Linked DNA regions of Elephas maximus indicus. The protein of the gene in region 1 purifies or fractionates together with the protein of each later gene. This does not show direct contact. Links are inferred from orthologs where the notes say so. Each region holds a gene or a part of one and is shown on either strand. Other genes may lie near its edges. The genes, in order: S100B and IQGAP1.

Region 1 (7,503 bases):
GCCGAGAAGCTTCTCAGGCACAGGGACCCCAGGTCCAAAGGACGCTCTCTGCTCCCAGTGCTGCTTTCTTGGTGGTATGAGGTCCTCCGCTCTCTGCTTGCTTCCCTTTCACCTCTTGAGAGATAAAAGGTGGTGCAGGCCACACCCCAGGGAAACTCTCTTTACATTGGATCAGGTAGGTAAGCTGACTAAGGGTGGTATTACAATCCCACCTTAATCCTTTTAACATAAAATTACAATCACAAGATGGAGGACAATCACTCAATACTGGGAATCATGTCCTAACCAAGTTGATGCACACTTTTTGGGGGGACATTATTCAATCCATGACAATCAGTCTCTTATATACATTTGATGATAGATTGCTGATATGCACACTCAACCTTATGGCTAGGTGAGTCAGACAATCTTTGGGCTGTATAATCACCTGACGCACCACAGTCAGATGTTCTGTCTCTACTGAGTCCCTAGAGCAAGCCAGAAACTTTTTCTCAAAATGAGAAGAGTTAACTTCCAAAAAGAACATAGACTTGGTCCAAAGTCCTAGAGGCTTGTAGTGTGAGTCTCCTATTGGTGCTTGTCAGAGGATCCATACTGCATCCCTAGGCAGCACAAACACTTTGAATATCACTGGATCTGCTGGATCCTAAGGACCAAGTGGTAAAGCAACCTGTGCTAACCTAAACTTTCTCTGGTTCCCACTTGAAACTGCCAGGCTTATGAGTTGAAGTAGCAAACTCAAATGCAGTATATGTTGTACATAAAATCCCAAAAGCTCTACTAAGTGTTGTTCTTTTTCATGGTAGGTGGTGTAAGATGCAGCAAGTTATCTTTCACTTGGAGGAGATATCTTGGCATGTCTCAGACTGCTGAACTCCCCCTCAAGAGACTTCACTAGGTGGTGGGCCCCTAAATTTTCATGTGCTAATCTCCCATCCTCTATTTTTCATGTCTTACTAAAGCACCTACAGCAATTGCTACTTCCTGTTCATCGATCTAATCAGCATATTATCATGAATATAGTGGATCAGTGTGATGCTTTGTTAAACATTGAGATGATCAAGATCTCTGGACACTATACTATGGCAGAGAGCAAGAGAACTAGCATGTCCCCAAGGCAACACTGTGAGGGTATATTGTTGGCCCTTCTAGGTAAAAGAAACTGTCTCTGACGATCTTAGCAATTATGTGTGGAGAAAAAGGCATTAGTTAGATCAATAGCTGCATATCAAGCGCCAGGTCCTATGCTGACTTTCTCTAGTAAAGACACATCATCCGGCACAGCAGCTACAATTGGAGTTCTCACCCAATTACAATAAAACCACCCTGCGAGGCAGGACAGTGATCATTTCATTTTACAGAAAGATTTATTAATTTGCCCAAAGTCACACAAATGTTAAGTAGCATAGCTGAGATTCAAACCTAGCAGTTATATGAATCTGTGGGACCTTGGCGAGGCCGTAGATTTGGGTACTGTTCAGCACAGGGATGGGATGGTGACCAAAGAAAGCTCTCATGTCCTTCCCCATGCTCTTCTTCTAAAGGCCTTGTGTCTGTGTGTTCCTGTGGGGGCTGAGCGAAATCACTCTGAGGGCCCATAGCACTAGGGAGCCCTTCTCATCCAAGTGGGAGTTCCTCTTCCTGCCAGGTTGCCCCAGCACCACGTGCCTACCTCTCTGAAGAGCTTCCTCTCCCCCTTCTCCTCGTCTGCTCCTATAGACCCTGGGACAGGGCGAATGCTGTTGGCTATCCCAAGAAGTTGTGGTGTCTTGTCTCCAGAGGGCGGGCCTGCCTGGGTCCCCAGAGTTGAGCCCAACACCCTGCATACAGTAGGTGTGGAGTAGTTGGGTGAGTGTACTCCACAATTTTTCCTTTAACCCCTGCAGGAGTAGGCTGAATATTTTATGTGTATACTGTATGGTAAACTCAGAGTCTATGCTGCCGTTCTGGGGAAGTGGTTAAGGTTTGCAGGGTGGCCATTCCCACAGCTCCAGTGCCTGGCATGCAAGAGGTGACACACCGATGCTATGGGAGTGTAGGAGATTGGGTGGGGGTCTGGGTTGGGATAACTCAAGCCCCATGACTCACAGTTCTGTGCTATTTCCAGGGCACATTTATGGATGTTGAATAGTCAAGAATTTTCTGGTTAAAATAAATGACAAGAAAACAACTGTGTACACAGACATCTTTGTGCATTGGTACTTCACGGCCAGTTTGAACCTGAATGAGAAACAGAAGGAGAGCACTGATTCTGGTTCAGATATCCTATGGGGACCACGGACATACCTGATAAGTTTTGGGGCAATACCTTTGCATAATTTGTCAAAAGAAATGCCTACTTTTTGACAAGAACCCACAAACTGGATTTCTGTGTTTGCAGGTTGAGGTAGCGTGCTGTTAAAGCTGGGCAGTAGGATTGTAGGTGTGGTGGGGGGGTAGGTGGTTGTATTTCTCTTCCCTGTGACTGGTGTGGTGGGGCCTTCAGCAAGGGGCAGACCATCATTACTTCTCATCTTGGAAAGCAGAGTGTTTTGACAGGCTGTTTCTTTTTTTATTGTATTTTAGATGAAGGTTTGCAGAGCAAACTAGTTCACTTTAAACAGTTAATACACACATTGCTTTGTGACATTGGTTGCCAAACTGACAACATGTCAACACTCCCCCCTTCTCGACCTTGGGTTCCCCATTACCAGCTTTCCTGTCCCCTCCTGCCTTCTCAACCTTGTCCCTGGGCTGGTATGCCCATTTAGTCTCATTTTGTTTTATGGGCCTGTCTAATCTTCGGCTGACGGGTGAACCTCAGGAGTGACTTCAGTGCTGAGTTAAAAGGGTGTCTAGGGGCCATACTCTCAGTGTTTCTCCAGTCTGTGTCAGACCAGTAAGTCTGGTCTTTTTTGTGTATGTGTGTGAGTTAGAATTTTATTACACATTTTTCTCCAGCTCTGTCCAGGATCCTCTATTTTGATCCCTCTGACAGGACATTTCTAAGGTACTATCCAACTCTGAGGCAGCGGGTTGGGTGGGTATCCAACTATGACAGCCTCTGACAGTGGAGGGAGAGGCTTGGGGTACATCTTAGTCTTCTAGTGCTGCCATAATAGAAATACCACAAGTGGATGGCTTTAACAAAGAAAAAATTTTTTTCTCACAGTCTAGTAGGTTACAAGTTCAAATGCAGGGCGTTGGCTCCAGGGGAAGGCTTTCTCTCTCTGTGGGCTCTAGAGGAAGGTCCTTGTCCTCAGTATTCCCATGGTTGAGGAGCTTCTCAGGTACAGGGACCCCGTGTCCAAAGGATGCGCTGTGCTCCTGGTGCTGCTTTCTTGGTGGTATGAGGTCCCTAACCCTCTGCTTGCTTCCCTTTCATCTTTTGAGAGATAAAATGTGGCGCAGGCCACACCCCAGGGAGACTCCCTTTACACTGGATCTGAGTAAGGGCGGTGTTATAATACCACCCTAACCCTCTCGACATAAAATTACAATCACAAAATGGAGGACAACCACAGAATATTGGGAATCATGGCCTAGCCAAGTTAATACACAGATTTTTGGGGGGACATATTTCAATAATAAACAAGGATTTTCCCCTAAAAGCATCAAGCATCCATTATACCACATGTTTTGGTGGAGCCCCCTCCTTGCTGACAGTGGACTCAGTAGTTTCTGGAGGCAGCCGTGTTGGCTCCAGCCAGAGAAGCCCCCGCTGCCCTGACAGGGCATCACATCTCCAGGTGGAGGCCAGACCAGGGGAAGCTGTAGACAGGGGAGAGGGGCTCCATGGGCCTCACCATTATGGGAAGGGCTCTGGAAGACAGTTGAGGTTCATCTAAGGATTTCCAGTGATAACGATAGCAGAATAAAAAAAAAAAAATGGAAAATATACTCATCATGACTTATCATGGGCCATAGTGGACATATCATAAGAAAACTCTTAAAAATGAGCTTTTGTCTTTGGGAAAAGGATCTATTTTGGCTTTAGCTAGCTAGATGTTCGGTCCGCACCACGGAAATAAAAGAAGCCGGGCATTCACTCAGCAAACATTTATTGAGCGATGCCTGTGTGCTTAATCTCCTACATTCCGCCTGTACTTGGAAGCTTCTTGTTCTTGGCTGGACATTTGCTTTGTTTGAATTAATTAATCCATCTCGCTCTCTTTTCCCCACCCCCACACTGCTTTTGAGAGGAACATCAATATTCATGTAATTAAAAAAAAAAAAAACACAAAAAGCTGACTCCTGCTTCCTGCCCAACAGGGCTCTTTCTTTCCCTTGGCCCCTGCGCAGTCCTGGCTGTCCAGCAAGTCCCTGGGCGGTCGCTTGGTCAATGCAGCCCTGTGTGCCGGCCTGTCTGCCCCAGCCGCCTCCCCGCCCTTGGCCCCCATTGGCTGCCACTGCCTGCAGTGCGTCTGCACCAGGGTCCACTCCCCCTCCGCCTGGGAGGAAGGAATAAGAGCCTGCTTCTGTCTGCCACTCCTGCCACTCCGCTGCTGCAGCCAGAGACCACAAAACAGCAAAGCAGGTGAGGAAGGGCAGCTCTTTTCTGTCTTTGGAGAGAAGGGGGAAAGGGATGGGGCTAGGGGTTGGGTAGTGGCTAAAAGGCGTCCTTAAGATAACTGGCAGCATTTCAAAAGTGTCAACAGCACTGCATGCTTAAGTCTTAATTTTTGATCTTATTACTGCTTTGTGGACCCCTGAGGATGTCCACACTAGACAGCCAGAGGTGCGTTTTACTTGTTTCTGTGACCACGAATCAGAGAAGCCTCAGGTCTAAGGGCTTAGAAGCAATTGCTGACGTTTTCCCAGAGGTACAAATGCTTCTTCCCCAACTCTTCTCTAACTTTTTGTTCCCCACTGGGGCTCAGAATAGGAGCCCTAGTTGTGCAGTGGTTAAAGTGCTTGGCTGCTAACTGAAAGGTCAGAGGTTCGAATCCACCAGCCACTTCACTGCAGAAAGATGTGGCAGCCTGCTTTCATAAAGATTACAGCCTTAAAAAAACTATGGGGCAGTTCTACTCTGTCCTTTAGGGTCGCTATGAGTTGGGGCATTGGGTCTGGGGCTGAGAACAGTTTAGAACCTAATACCAGCTTAGCCTTGTATCATAAACAAATGTTTTATTTTCATCCTCCTTTTTACTTCTTCCATGGTCCTGGATAAGTTATTACTTCCTGGTTTTCTCATTTCCCTCGATTTGAAATGTCCATGTCCTGCTGGACACCACTCAGAAATTCCATGACAGTTGGGGAAGGTCTTCACAAATAAACAACGAATTGGGTCAAAAAGAAAAAAAAAAAAAAGCTTAGGTTTCTGGTGAGTTTTAGGGAACCCAGGTGGCGTAGTTGTGAAAAGCTATGGCTACTAACCAAAAGGTCAGCAGTTCGAATCCACCAGGCGCTTCTCGGAAACCCTATGGGGCAGTTCTACTCTGTCCTATAGGGTCGCTGTGAGTTGGAATCAACTTGACGGCAACAGGTTTGGTTTTTTTGGTGGGTTTTAACTTTCCTCAGTCTTACAATCCCTCAAAGAGGTAGAGCCCTTTAGAGTGGGCTCTCAGAGTGTATGTGATGTGTAGGTGTGTCTTCCTGAACAGCGGAAGCTCCAGAAGTCTCATTTCCAAAATAAAAAGATTAATGCAGAACTTTCCCAAAGGGAAGTGAGAAGGAAATATGGGTATTTGCTTGCAACTTTCTTAAAAGATAATCTTTACACCATCAACCGTTTCTTAAGTCACAGGGAAGAAAAAATGAATTTGCAGTAAGGTTAAGAAGAAAACTACATTTTATGGAGTTCTATAATTTTATAATATATGATGGAGCTCTGGCGGCACAGTCGTTAACAGCTTGGCTGCTAACCAAAAGGTTAGCAGTTCGAATCCACCAGCCACCCCTTGGGAATCCTTTGGGGCAGTTCTACTCTGCCCTATGGGGTCGCTGTAAGTTGGAATCGACTTGACAGCAACGGGATTGGTGTTCATATATGAAATATGTGTTTTTTGCCTTTTTTTTTAAAAACCCATTACTCATGCTTTAGAGGAAAATCATCGAACCTTCTCTTCCCCAAATCATCATGGACTTAAAGCAACATCAGGATGCAGCAAAAGTTTACTAGGTTTCTTAAAAAAAAAAAAAAATCAGTAGTTGAAAACTTGAGGGCAAAGAACGGGAAAGTATGAAATCTTAGAGATTTTAACTCATCTGAATTGTCTTATATATATGAAATACCTGATTCTTAGGGATTTAAGCAAAGTACCCTGGTTACTAATAGCGTGGCTTTGGCGAAGATCAGGCGAAGACAAAAATAACCTCAATCATGTTCCCTTTGGGAGATTAGAAATAAATAAGATTTTAAACTTTTATTTTAAGATGTAAATGATATATTCAACATGGGAGTGATTTTTCAACAGTGAAATTTATTTTTAGTTACAGCACTGCAAAGGTTTTTACTTGATTTAATGATTAGAATTCAAGGTCCAAAGTGGGTAAACGTCTCTGCCTGAGCTTCTCAGTTTTGTGAGACAATGAACCAGCCACCCTTTGTAAAGAGTGCCATGCTGCTGGGATTGAGGAAATAATTTCTCAATTCACTGGCCATGATATAAAGTACATGGTATGAGGGAAGCAGGAAACTTCTTGCTTTGGTATCTACAGAGAAACACTTCTTTCCAAGGTTTGTCCCAGTCACTTTCTTGAATAACCCACCATTTCCCCATTCACTTGGATAGGCGCCTTCATGAATACTAACGAAATGCTTGGGCTGCGGCTCAGCCTCCAGCTGCATTCTCTCTACGCCTCTGTCAGGACACACCAGTTCAATCGTTCAGACTTATAATACATTTTCGTTTCTGGTAGGTCAGGGTGCCTCTCGATATTCTTCTTTAAGAAAAAATAAATTGTGGCAATTCTACCATATTTATTTTTCCAGATGGATTTGACAACTGTTTTTTGTCATGTTGCTCACCTATAAAAAATTGCATTAAGATCTTTATTAAAAATGAGTTTAATTTTTATATTAATTCAGGGGAAAACAAGGTTCTATATTTATGTTCCTTAGAATCTTTTGGAAGGGCCTGCACTTTTCTTGTCAAATTTATTCTTAGATAAAATGTGTGTGACCCTGGATAGAGGTATCTGCAGACATTACGTTAAATGTTTTATGTCCAAACAAAACACAGCACATGAGAAGACATCTTTCCCTTGTAGAACCTGTAGGATGTCTGAGCTGGAGAAGGCTATGGTGTCCCTCATTGATGTTTTCCATCAATATTCTGGAAAGGAAGGTGACAAGCACAAGCTAAAGAAGTCTGAACTCAAGGAGCTCATCAACAATGAGCTTTCCCATTTTTTAGAGGTGAGTATTCCTTTGTGAAATCAACAGTTTATCCATCTTCCTTTTTGGGAACCGTGGTGGCGTAGTGGTTAAGAGCTACAGGTGCTAACCAAAACCCTGGCAGTTCGAATCCATCAGGCTCATTGGACACCCTGTGGGCAGTTTTACTCTGTCCCGTAGGG
Region 2 (8,351 bases), on another chromosome or scaffold:
ACTCCTTGGAGCCCCTTTGGAAGGGGCCATATCTGGTTCTCCTCACCAAATTGTGTGCTGCCAAACCAGAGAGAGTCAAACTTTGGATCCATTTGTCACAATTAAAGAAAGTCAAAACACCTCAGTGGATTAGCCAGCCCTCTGGAGAACTCAAGATTACCTTGAGATGCTCTGATGGCTAGAAGCAGATGACATCTGATGTAGACAGCTAGTCCCAAGATCACGAAACAAGATGACATGCACGTTGCTGAATTTTGTGGACTTTGCTGTTTAAGCTTTGTTCTTTTCTTCATAGTAATTCCATCTGAGGGTTGGGATGAAAATACTTCTGTTAAGTTGGCCCAATCAGTAGTAAGTCCCAGTGATTTGACTGAATGTTGGATCTGTCATCCCAATCCATGATCAGGATGTGAAAATTCAGATCCAGTAGTGTCTCCAATATCAAATTTTAGTCTTGCACCTGAAACAGTTATTAATCTTAGTGTTACCTTTAAACGAGTCATACATGTCAGATTATGGTATCTCCTTGGATTGTTGGCTCAACCTCAGGCAGCATGTTTCAATCTAACCCATGCTGTAGGATGGAGACTGAATTGTTCTAGACAGAAATATTTATCTGGTCTCTATCACAGTTTTAGGAGATTACTACAGTACTGCCAAACTGCTAATTTCCCTAGTTATTTCAATACATTGCCTCTGCATGTGAATCAGTTGCCATATTGTCTAAATGGAAGCCAGACAGATCCTAATAATCTGTCCCCTCTTTGTATTAAGTTCTGGAGCACAGTGAAATTAGGACAGTTATTCATTTGTGAAAATTGTCTTACTGAAAGTTGATTTGAGCTGGCTAAGAGAACTATTCCTTCCCCAGATAATTATACTGAAAATGGGATGATCTGTGGTCCCCATGGATATGTATTTTTATGTGGAGGATCCAATTACAGCACCATGAGAGAAAGCCTAACCCTAGTGATGAGCTATATGCTCAGACATTGCTCTGCTTAGTTGGTTGGAGAATGTGGGGTCAATGTCCTTTAGGGATTTTAGGAGTTCCCCTAAATATTCACTCCAATAATGAAAGTCTGCCTCTGGTCTTCAGTTTGTCATACTGCGGTGGCTTGCATATTACTGTAATGTTGGAAGCTATGCCACTGGTATTTCACAGACTAAAGAAGCCTCTGATGACCAAAAGCCAGAACCTCAAAGGTGGACAGGTTTCAGCAGAGCTTCCAGACTAAGACAGGCTAGGAAGAAGGGCCTGGAGGTCTACTTCTGAAAAAATTGACCACTGAAAACCATTTGAATAGTGGCAGAACATTGTCTGAATATAGTGCTGGAAGATGAGCCCTTTCAGGTTGGAAGACACTCAAAATACAACTTGGGAAGAGTTGCCGTCTCAAAGTGGAGTTGACCTTAATGACATGGATAGAGTAAAGCTTTCAGGACCTTCATTTGCTGATGTGGCACGACTCAAAACGAGAAGAAAAACTGCAAACACCCATTAATAATTGGAACATGGAATGTACAAATTATTGATGTAGGAAAATTGGAAATCATCAAAATTGAAATGGGAAGCTTAAAGATACCTTAGGCATTAGTGAAATGAAATGGACTGGTATGGGCCATTTTGAATTGGACAAGCATATGGCCTACTATGCTGGGAATGACAGCTTGAAGAGGAACGGTGTCACATTCATCATCAGAAAGAACATTTCAAGATCTATCCTGAAGTACAACACAGTGATAGAATAATATTCATATGCCTACAAGGAAGATCAGTTAATATGACTACTATTCAAATTTACACACCAAACGCTAAGGCCAAAGATGAAGATTTTTACCAACTTCTGCAATCAAGATGCATACATAGTTATTGGTGATTGGAATGTGAAAGTTGGAAACAAAGAAGTTGGAAAATATGGTCTTGGTGATAGAAATGACACTGGAGATCCCATGATAGAATTTTGCAAGACCAACTGCTTATTCATTGCAAATAACTTTTTTCACCAACATAAATGGCGGATATACACGTGGACTTCTCCAGATGGAATACACAGGAATCAAATTGACTATACCTGTGAAAATAGACAAGGGAGAAGCTCAATATCATCAGTCAGAATAAGGCCAGGGGCCGACTGTGGAACAGACCATCAATTTCTAAAATGCAAGTTCAAGTTGAAGCTGAAGAAAATTAAAACAAGTTCACAAGAACCAAAATACGACTTTGAGTATGTCCTGGCTGAATTTAGAGACCATCTCAAGAATAGATTTCGCACGTTGAAAATTAATGAATGAAGACCAGACGAGTTGTGGGATGACATCAAGGCCATCATACATGAAGAAAGCAAAAGGTCATTAAAAAGATAAGAAAGAAAAGACCAAAATGGATATCAAAAAAGACTCTGAATTTGCTCTTGAACATAGAGCAGCTAAAGCAAATGAAAGAAATGATGAAGTAAAAGAGCTGAATAGAAGATTTCAAAGGGCGGCTTGAGAAGACAAAGTAAAGTATTGTAATAACATGTGAAGACCTGGAGTTTGAAAAGCAAAAGGGAAGAATACACTTGGCATTTCTCAAGCTGAAAGAACTGAAGAAAAAATTTGAGCCTCGAGTTACAGTATTGAAGGATTTTATGGGCAAAATATTAAATGACACAGGAAGCATCAAAAGAAGATGGAAGGAATACACAGAATCACTGTACCAAAAAGAATTGGTCGACATTCAGCCCTTTCAGGAGGTAGCATAAGATTAAGAACTGATGGTATTGAAAGAAGCCCAAGCTGCACTGAAGGCATTGTTGAAAAACAAGGTTGTAGGAATTGACAGAATACCAACTGAGATGTTTCAACAAACAGAGGCAGTGCTAGAGGAGCTCATTTGTCTATGCCAAAAAATTTGAAAGACATCTACCTGGTGAACCGGCTGGAAAAGATCCATATTTGTGCCCATTCCAAAAAAGGTGATGTAACAGAGTGTGGAAATTATTGGACAATGTCACTAATATCATAGGAAAGTAAAATTTTGCTGAAGATAATTCAAAAGCAGTTGTAGCAGTACATAAACAAAGAACTGCCAGAAATTCAAACTGGATTCAGAAGAGGATGTGGAATGAGGGATATCATTCTGATGTCAGACAGTCTTGGCTGAAAGCGGAGAATACCAGAAAGATATTTACCTGTGTTTTTATTGATCATACAAAGACATTTGACTGTGTGGATCATAACAAATTATGGATAAAGTTGAGAAGAATAGGAATTCCAGAACTCTTAATTGTGTTTATGTGAAACCATTACATAGACCAAGAGGCAGTAGTGAGAACAGAACAAGGGGATACTATGTGGTTTAAAAAGTCAGGTAAGATGTGCATCAGGGTTGTATCCTTTCACCATGCTTATTCAATCTGTATGTTGAGCAGATAATCTGAGACGCTGGGCTTCAGGATTAGAGCAAGACTCATAAATAACCTGCAATATACAGATGACACATTATTGCTTGCGGAAGGCGAAAAGAACGTGGAGTGCTTGCTGATGAAGATCAAAGACTACAGCCTTCAGTATAAAGAAAACAAAAATCCTCACAACTGGATCAATAAGCAACATCATGATAAATGGAGAAAAGTTTGAAGTTGTCAAGGATTTCATTTTACTTGGGTACACAATCAATGCCCATGGAGTGCCAGAGCTGTGTGCCTTCGGGGCTGAGGCTTCCTTTCAGAGGGGGTTGCCCCCCACCCCCAGGCACTTATTACAAAGCTAAAGAGCTTTGTAACACTTGCCTGAGTAGGGCAGAGGCCCTGAAGGGCCAAGGACCAGGGAAAGGCCTGAATGTGAGTGCCAATGAGAACCTGCTGTCCCAATAGAAGAACTGTATCTTGCCTATTTCCTGATTCTGAATTGTACCTGTTACTTCCCTAATAAGCCCCATAACTGTGTATGGTCTGTGAGTTCTGTGTGGCCATTGCAACTAATTATTGAACCCATTTTTTAGGGAAGTAGAGTGCCGTGGGAGGTACAGATGGTGTCAGAATTGGTAAAAAGGTTGGAGAGAGTGAAAGTATGTTTGACCTCTGCCTCATAGGTATCAGCTTTGGGCTGTTGCATATAATGATCCCCCTCGTCCCTCTGAAGTTAGAGGAAGCCTGGTGGTAATGAACTGAGATGAGAGGCGCGAGTGATGCTAGCTTTCATGGTTAAGGTTGTGTCAACTTTGCTGTGCCATGATTCTCTGTGGTTTGAAAGTTATGTAATGATGTAATTTGGCAGTTATGTAATGACGCAGTCATCCTCTATTTTTGCATAATGCTGATTTTCACATACTGACCTGGTCTTTGGAACCCAACCATGTTGAAGAGGAGTAGGTGTCTTTTTGAAACAGGCAGGGGAAGAGGCACTCTTAAAAGGGGCAAAGAATCCTTGGATTAAAGAGAATAGGGAAGAACACTGCCAGGGACTACAGGGGAAAGGTGTTTGGGCAGATATGTTCTTCTGCTTTAGCATCTACATCTCAAACACTTGGAGGGCTGAGCTGTTCTAATACGATGACCGCTGGTGAATCTGGAAGAGGCTTGAGGCCAGATTGCCAGATTGTGCGGAGAGGCTCCAACAACCCCTTGGGCCCCCTCAAAGCATGCCTTCATTAAGCCCTTTGTGCAGACGAGCGTGGCTCACCCGGGAGGGGAAGCAAGGTAGCCCATCGTTTTGATTTCTAAAAAAAAAAAAAACCCAGATTTCTAGCCACCGACAAACACGGCCTTTTTGTCAGAGTTGCGGACGTAGCAAACGGCGGCCGCGGCACTGGGTGAGGAGCGCGAACTGGGCCAGCAACTCCGCCTCCTTCCTTCCGCCGGTTCCAGCCTGAGCGAGGCACGGGGCGGGGCCGGAAGAACGAGGCGGGGCACGAGGCTGGGGCTGGGCTGCTCGGGCCCCGCCCTCTTTCTCCCGCTCGGGTCCGCGCCGCAGGGCGGGGCCGCTAGGGCGCGGCCTGGGGGCGGGGCCAGAGGCGTGGGCGGGGCCTACAGAGCCCGGGCAGCCCGCGCACTGCAGGCTTCACAGCTGCCGCTGCCGCGCCTCGAAGGTCTCACCGCTTCCTCAGCAGAGACCCGGGCTCGGTCGCCATGTCCGCCACGGACGAAGTTGACGGGCTGGGCGTGGCCCGGCCGCACTATGGCTGTGAGTGTGGGGCTCCGCGGTGCGGGAACACCAAGACCGGGCTCGCTGCCTCCGAGGCGCAGTGTTCCCGGGGGCTCGGCGGGGAGGGTGGGGCAGGGCGGTGCGGGCCGCGCGGACCCGGAAGAGCTGGTCCGGTGGGGCTGCGGGCGGGCGGGCGGGGCGGCGAGGCCCCCGGCCCGGGTCCCGCTCGGGCTCGGAGGCGGCAGGGAAGACCCCGGAGGCCTCCCCTCCTTAGCCCGGGCTCTGCGGTCCGAGGGGCCGCACCCATCGCCTCCGCCGCCCGCCGCGGCCGAGATTGGGGAGACGGCCTAGGGTGAGGTGGCAGGAGGACGATGCAGGGCGTGTCCCGGGCACCGGCGACGCGGGCTCCGCTCGGGCCTCGTGGGAAGGTGCCTCCCCGTTGGACGCGTTCCCCGAGAGGCTGCGGGGTAGACCCGGGGTTCAGGCCTGCCCGCTGTGAGGTGCAGCTTTGGACGAGTCACTTCAGTTCTTCGGGCTTAGTTCCCTCGTCAGGATTTCAAAAGTAAAATAAAAAAAAGCCTTCCGACTTCCTCATTTTCTGAATCTCCTTTTTTGTGTCTGTTTTTGGGACATCGTTGAACTGCAGATGGGATAGTTACCCCTGGCCAAAGGAGGGATCCTTTTAGAGCTCTTGAGGTTTTCAATTTTATTTTGTATTCTGGGGATGATGTTCTTTTTTAAGGATAATTTCACTCATCAGTTATGTGTGAGGTACTGTACCATGTTAATTAAAACATGGAAATTAAAGATGAGTAAGACCAGGTCCTTCCTTCAACAACATTTTAATCAGACAGGTGTACAACCTAATGAAGATAAGGTGTAATAAAGATAAGAGATAGGTCAACTGGGCATAAACAGTAATGTGGGTGAGGAGAAGAGACTTGGTTAGGAACTGTGTGAACACAGGTGGTGACATTTGAACAGAGCCTTGAAGTATACTGTGTAGAGAAGAAGTTTGACAGGATAGAGTGGGGCAAGAGACATGACATGAAGAAGGAAGAGCGGGAACTAAGGTGTTGAAGATAGAAGGCCGTGTTGAGAACTCAGTGGTGTGGAGTGCACAGTGGTGGGAGGAAGGGCAGGGAGAGGAAGGAGATGAGTTTCCAGAAGTAGTTGGGCCAGATTGGGAAAGGCCTTGAATGCCATGCCGAGGAGTTAGGAATTCATTCTATACCCGGGGTGCCCATGCAGGAGGCAGATTGCTTCCAGGTTATGCTCATAGGCTTTGGAGGCAGAATTTCTGAGTTTCATTCCAGGCCCCACCACTTACTAGCCCTGAGCTGAACTCACCCAGCCCCAGTTTCCTCGACTGTAAAATAAGAGTGATAACCATAGGATTATTGTGTGTCTTCAGTGAACAAATGCATGTAAAAAGCTTAGTATACCGCTGCCACTTAGTTTTCAATAACTACTGGCTTTGGTTATTAATGAAATAGAAGAACATGATCACATCTGCATTTAGAAAACCAGATCTGGGCAAACTTGGGCCCAAATCTCAAGCACCAGTATTTTTCAAGGTCACAGTAAAATTTAGTACATGCTGATATTATTGTACTTTGTGAGAAAGAGTAAGATTGGTATAATCGAAACCCCAAAGTTCTTGTTTTATGAAAGTCATTGTAGTACCTCATTATCCACACATCCGCCGGTTGCCCTGGCCTTCTAGGTGACTAGCAGGAATTTGATGCTGTGACGTTCTGTTATCTCTCAGGAGGGTTACAGATCTCTGTGTTTACATTCTGTCTTTCATGTTTTAGCTGTCCTGGATAATGAGAGACTTACTGCAGAGGAGATGGATGAAAGGCGACGCCAGAATGTGGCTTATGAGTACCTTTGTCATTTGGAAGAAGCAAAGAGGTAAAGATTGGCTGGCTGGAGAGACAGTGGGGAGAAGGGAGCTGATACGTTGTGGATGCAGATAAAGATCTCTTTGAGTGTGTTGTAGGTGTAACTGTGGGAGGCTGGTAGTTGAGGGAATAAGTATAGGTAGGGTGTTTATTCATGGGAGCAAGTAGACTTGATGGCAGTTTATCATGAAACACTGATGGGTATTTATGTATACTGAAAAATCTCCAGATTGATGCTGATTTATATGGTTATGGTACACGTTTTGGATGCTCTGCTATGGGGGCAAAACAGCATTTTTAGGGTTTGAAGTTCTTGCCTTTAATGTCTCATTCATTCTTCACTGGCTTGTGGAGTGGGTGTGTGGTTTGGGAGGCGCAGAGTGCTGTGGGTATAAATTCATCCACTTGCCAGTTTTCAAAAACAGTTAACCAGAGACAGCGTCCTTTGCTTTCTTTATGAAGTGGATTTATAGCTGCTATTTTCCTTTTTTCAGATGCTTCAGAATCTTGTGGTCTTAGAGTGTTGATTTATTTTGCTATCGGTGGTCCCATTTCTTTCAGTCTAGTGTTTGTGTTCCTTTGTAAAGTCCCAGGGCAGATAAATGTAATTACAGGTCGTATGTTCTGTAAATCAGTGATTAGGTGGAAAAGGCTAGAGAGGGATAAAGAAAGGTATTTGCAATCAAAATTTAATGAAAATCAAGGATATTTCAAACGGTCTAGTAAACAAAGAGCTTCTTCTTTGATTTTGAGAACTTTAAAACACTATAGTAAAGTTCGGAGAACAATGCAACAAACATCCATGTATTCACTGCCCAGAACTAACAACTGTTAACATTCTAGATATTTCCCTTTCTTCTTTTTTTTTTTTTTAAAGGGGAAAATGGTGTTTCATTATGGTTTTCTTTATTGTAAATGTATGTAAACAAAACATTTGCCATTTCAACACTTTTTACATGTATAATTCATTGATGTTAATTACGTCGTGTTATGCAACATCGCCAGTATGTGCTTCCAAATTTTTTCATCACCTTTAGCAGAAACTCAGTACCCCTAAGCAGTGATTCCCTCTTTTCCCCTACCTCCTATCCTTGGTAGCTACTAGTAAACTTTGGCCTCTATAAAATACATTTGACAAATTCTAGATATTTCATACGAGTGGAATCTTTACAGTATTTGTCATTTTGTTACTGACTTAATTTCACTTAGCTTAATGTTTTCGAGGTTCATATTATAGCATATTATCAGGGCTTCATTTTTCTTTATGACTGAGTTTAAACATTTGTTTATCTTTTCACCTTTTGGGTGTTGTGA

What was found.
Region 2: the proteins of S100B (region 1) and IQGAP1 purify together in Homo sapiens (co-immunoprecipitation; 3 studies listed by BioGRID and IntAct, with this or other methods). This does not show direct contact. The link is inferred for Elephas maximus indicus from reciprocal best matches to the Homo sapiens genes S100B and IQGAP1.

What each region holds. Positions count from the first base shown.
Region 1 is NC_064820.1:232,026,147-232,033,649, reverse strand, and holds the start of S100B (protein S100-B), read left to right. Parts: upstream 1-4,410; 5' UTR 4,411-4,516; intron 4,517-7,194; 5' UTR 7,195-7,204; coding exon 7,205-7,342; intron 7,343-7,503. UniProt on the Homo sapiens protein: Small zinc- and- and calcium-binding protein that is highly expressed in astrocytes and constitutes one of the most abundant soluble proteins in brain.
Region 2 is NC_064831.1:74,780,832-74,789,182, forward strand, and holds the start of IQGAP1 (ras GTPase-activating-like protein IQGAP1), read left to right. Parts: upstream 1-5,014; 5' UTR 5,015-5,114; coding exon 5,115-5,169; intron 5,170-6,947; coding exon 6,948-7,047; intron 7,048-8,351. UniProt on the Homo sapiens protein: Plays a crucial role in regulating the dynamics and assembly of the actin cytoskeleton.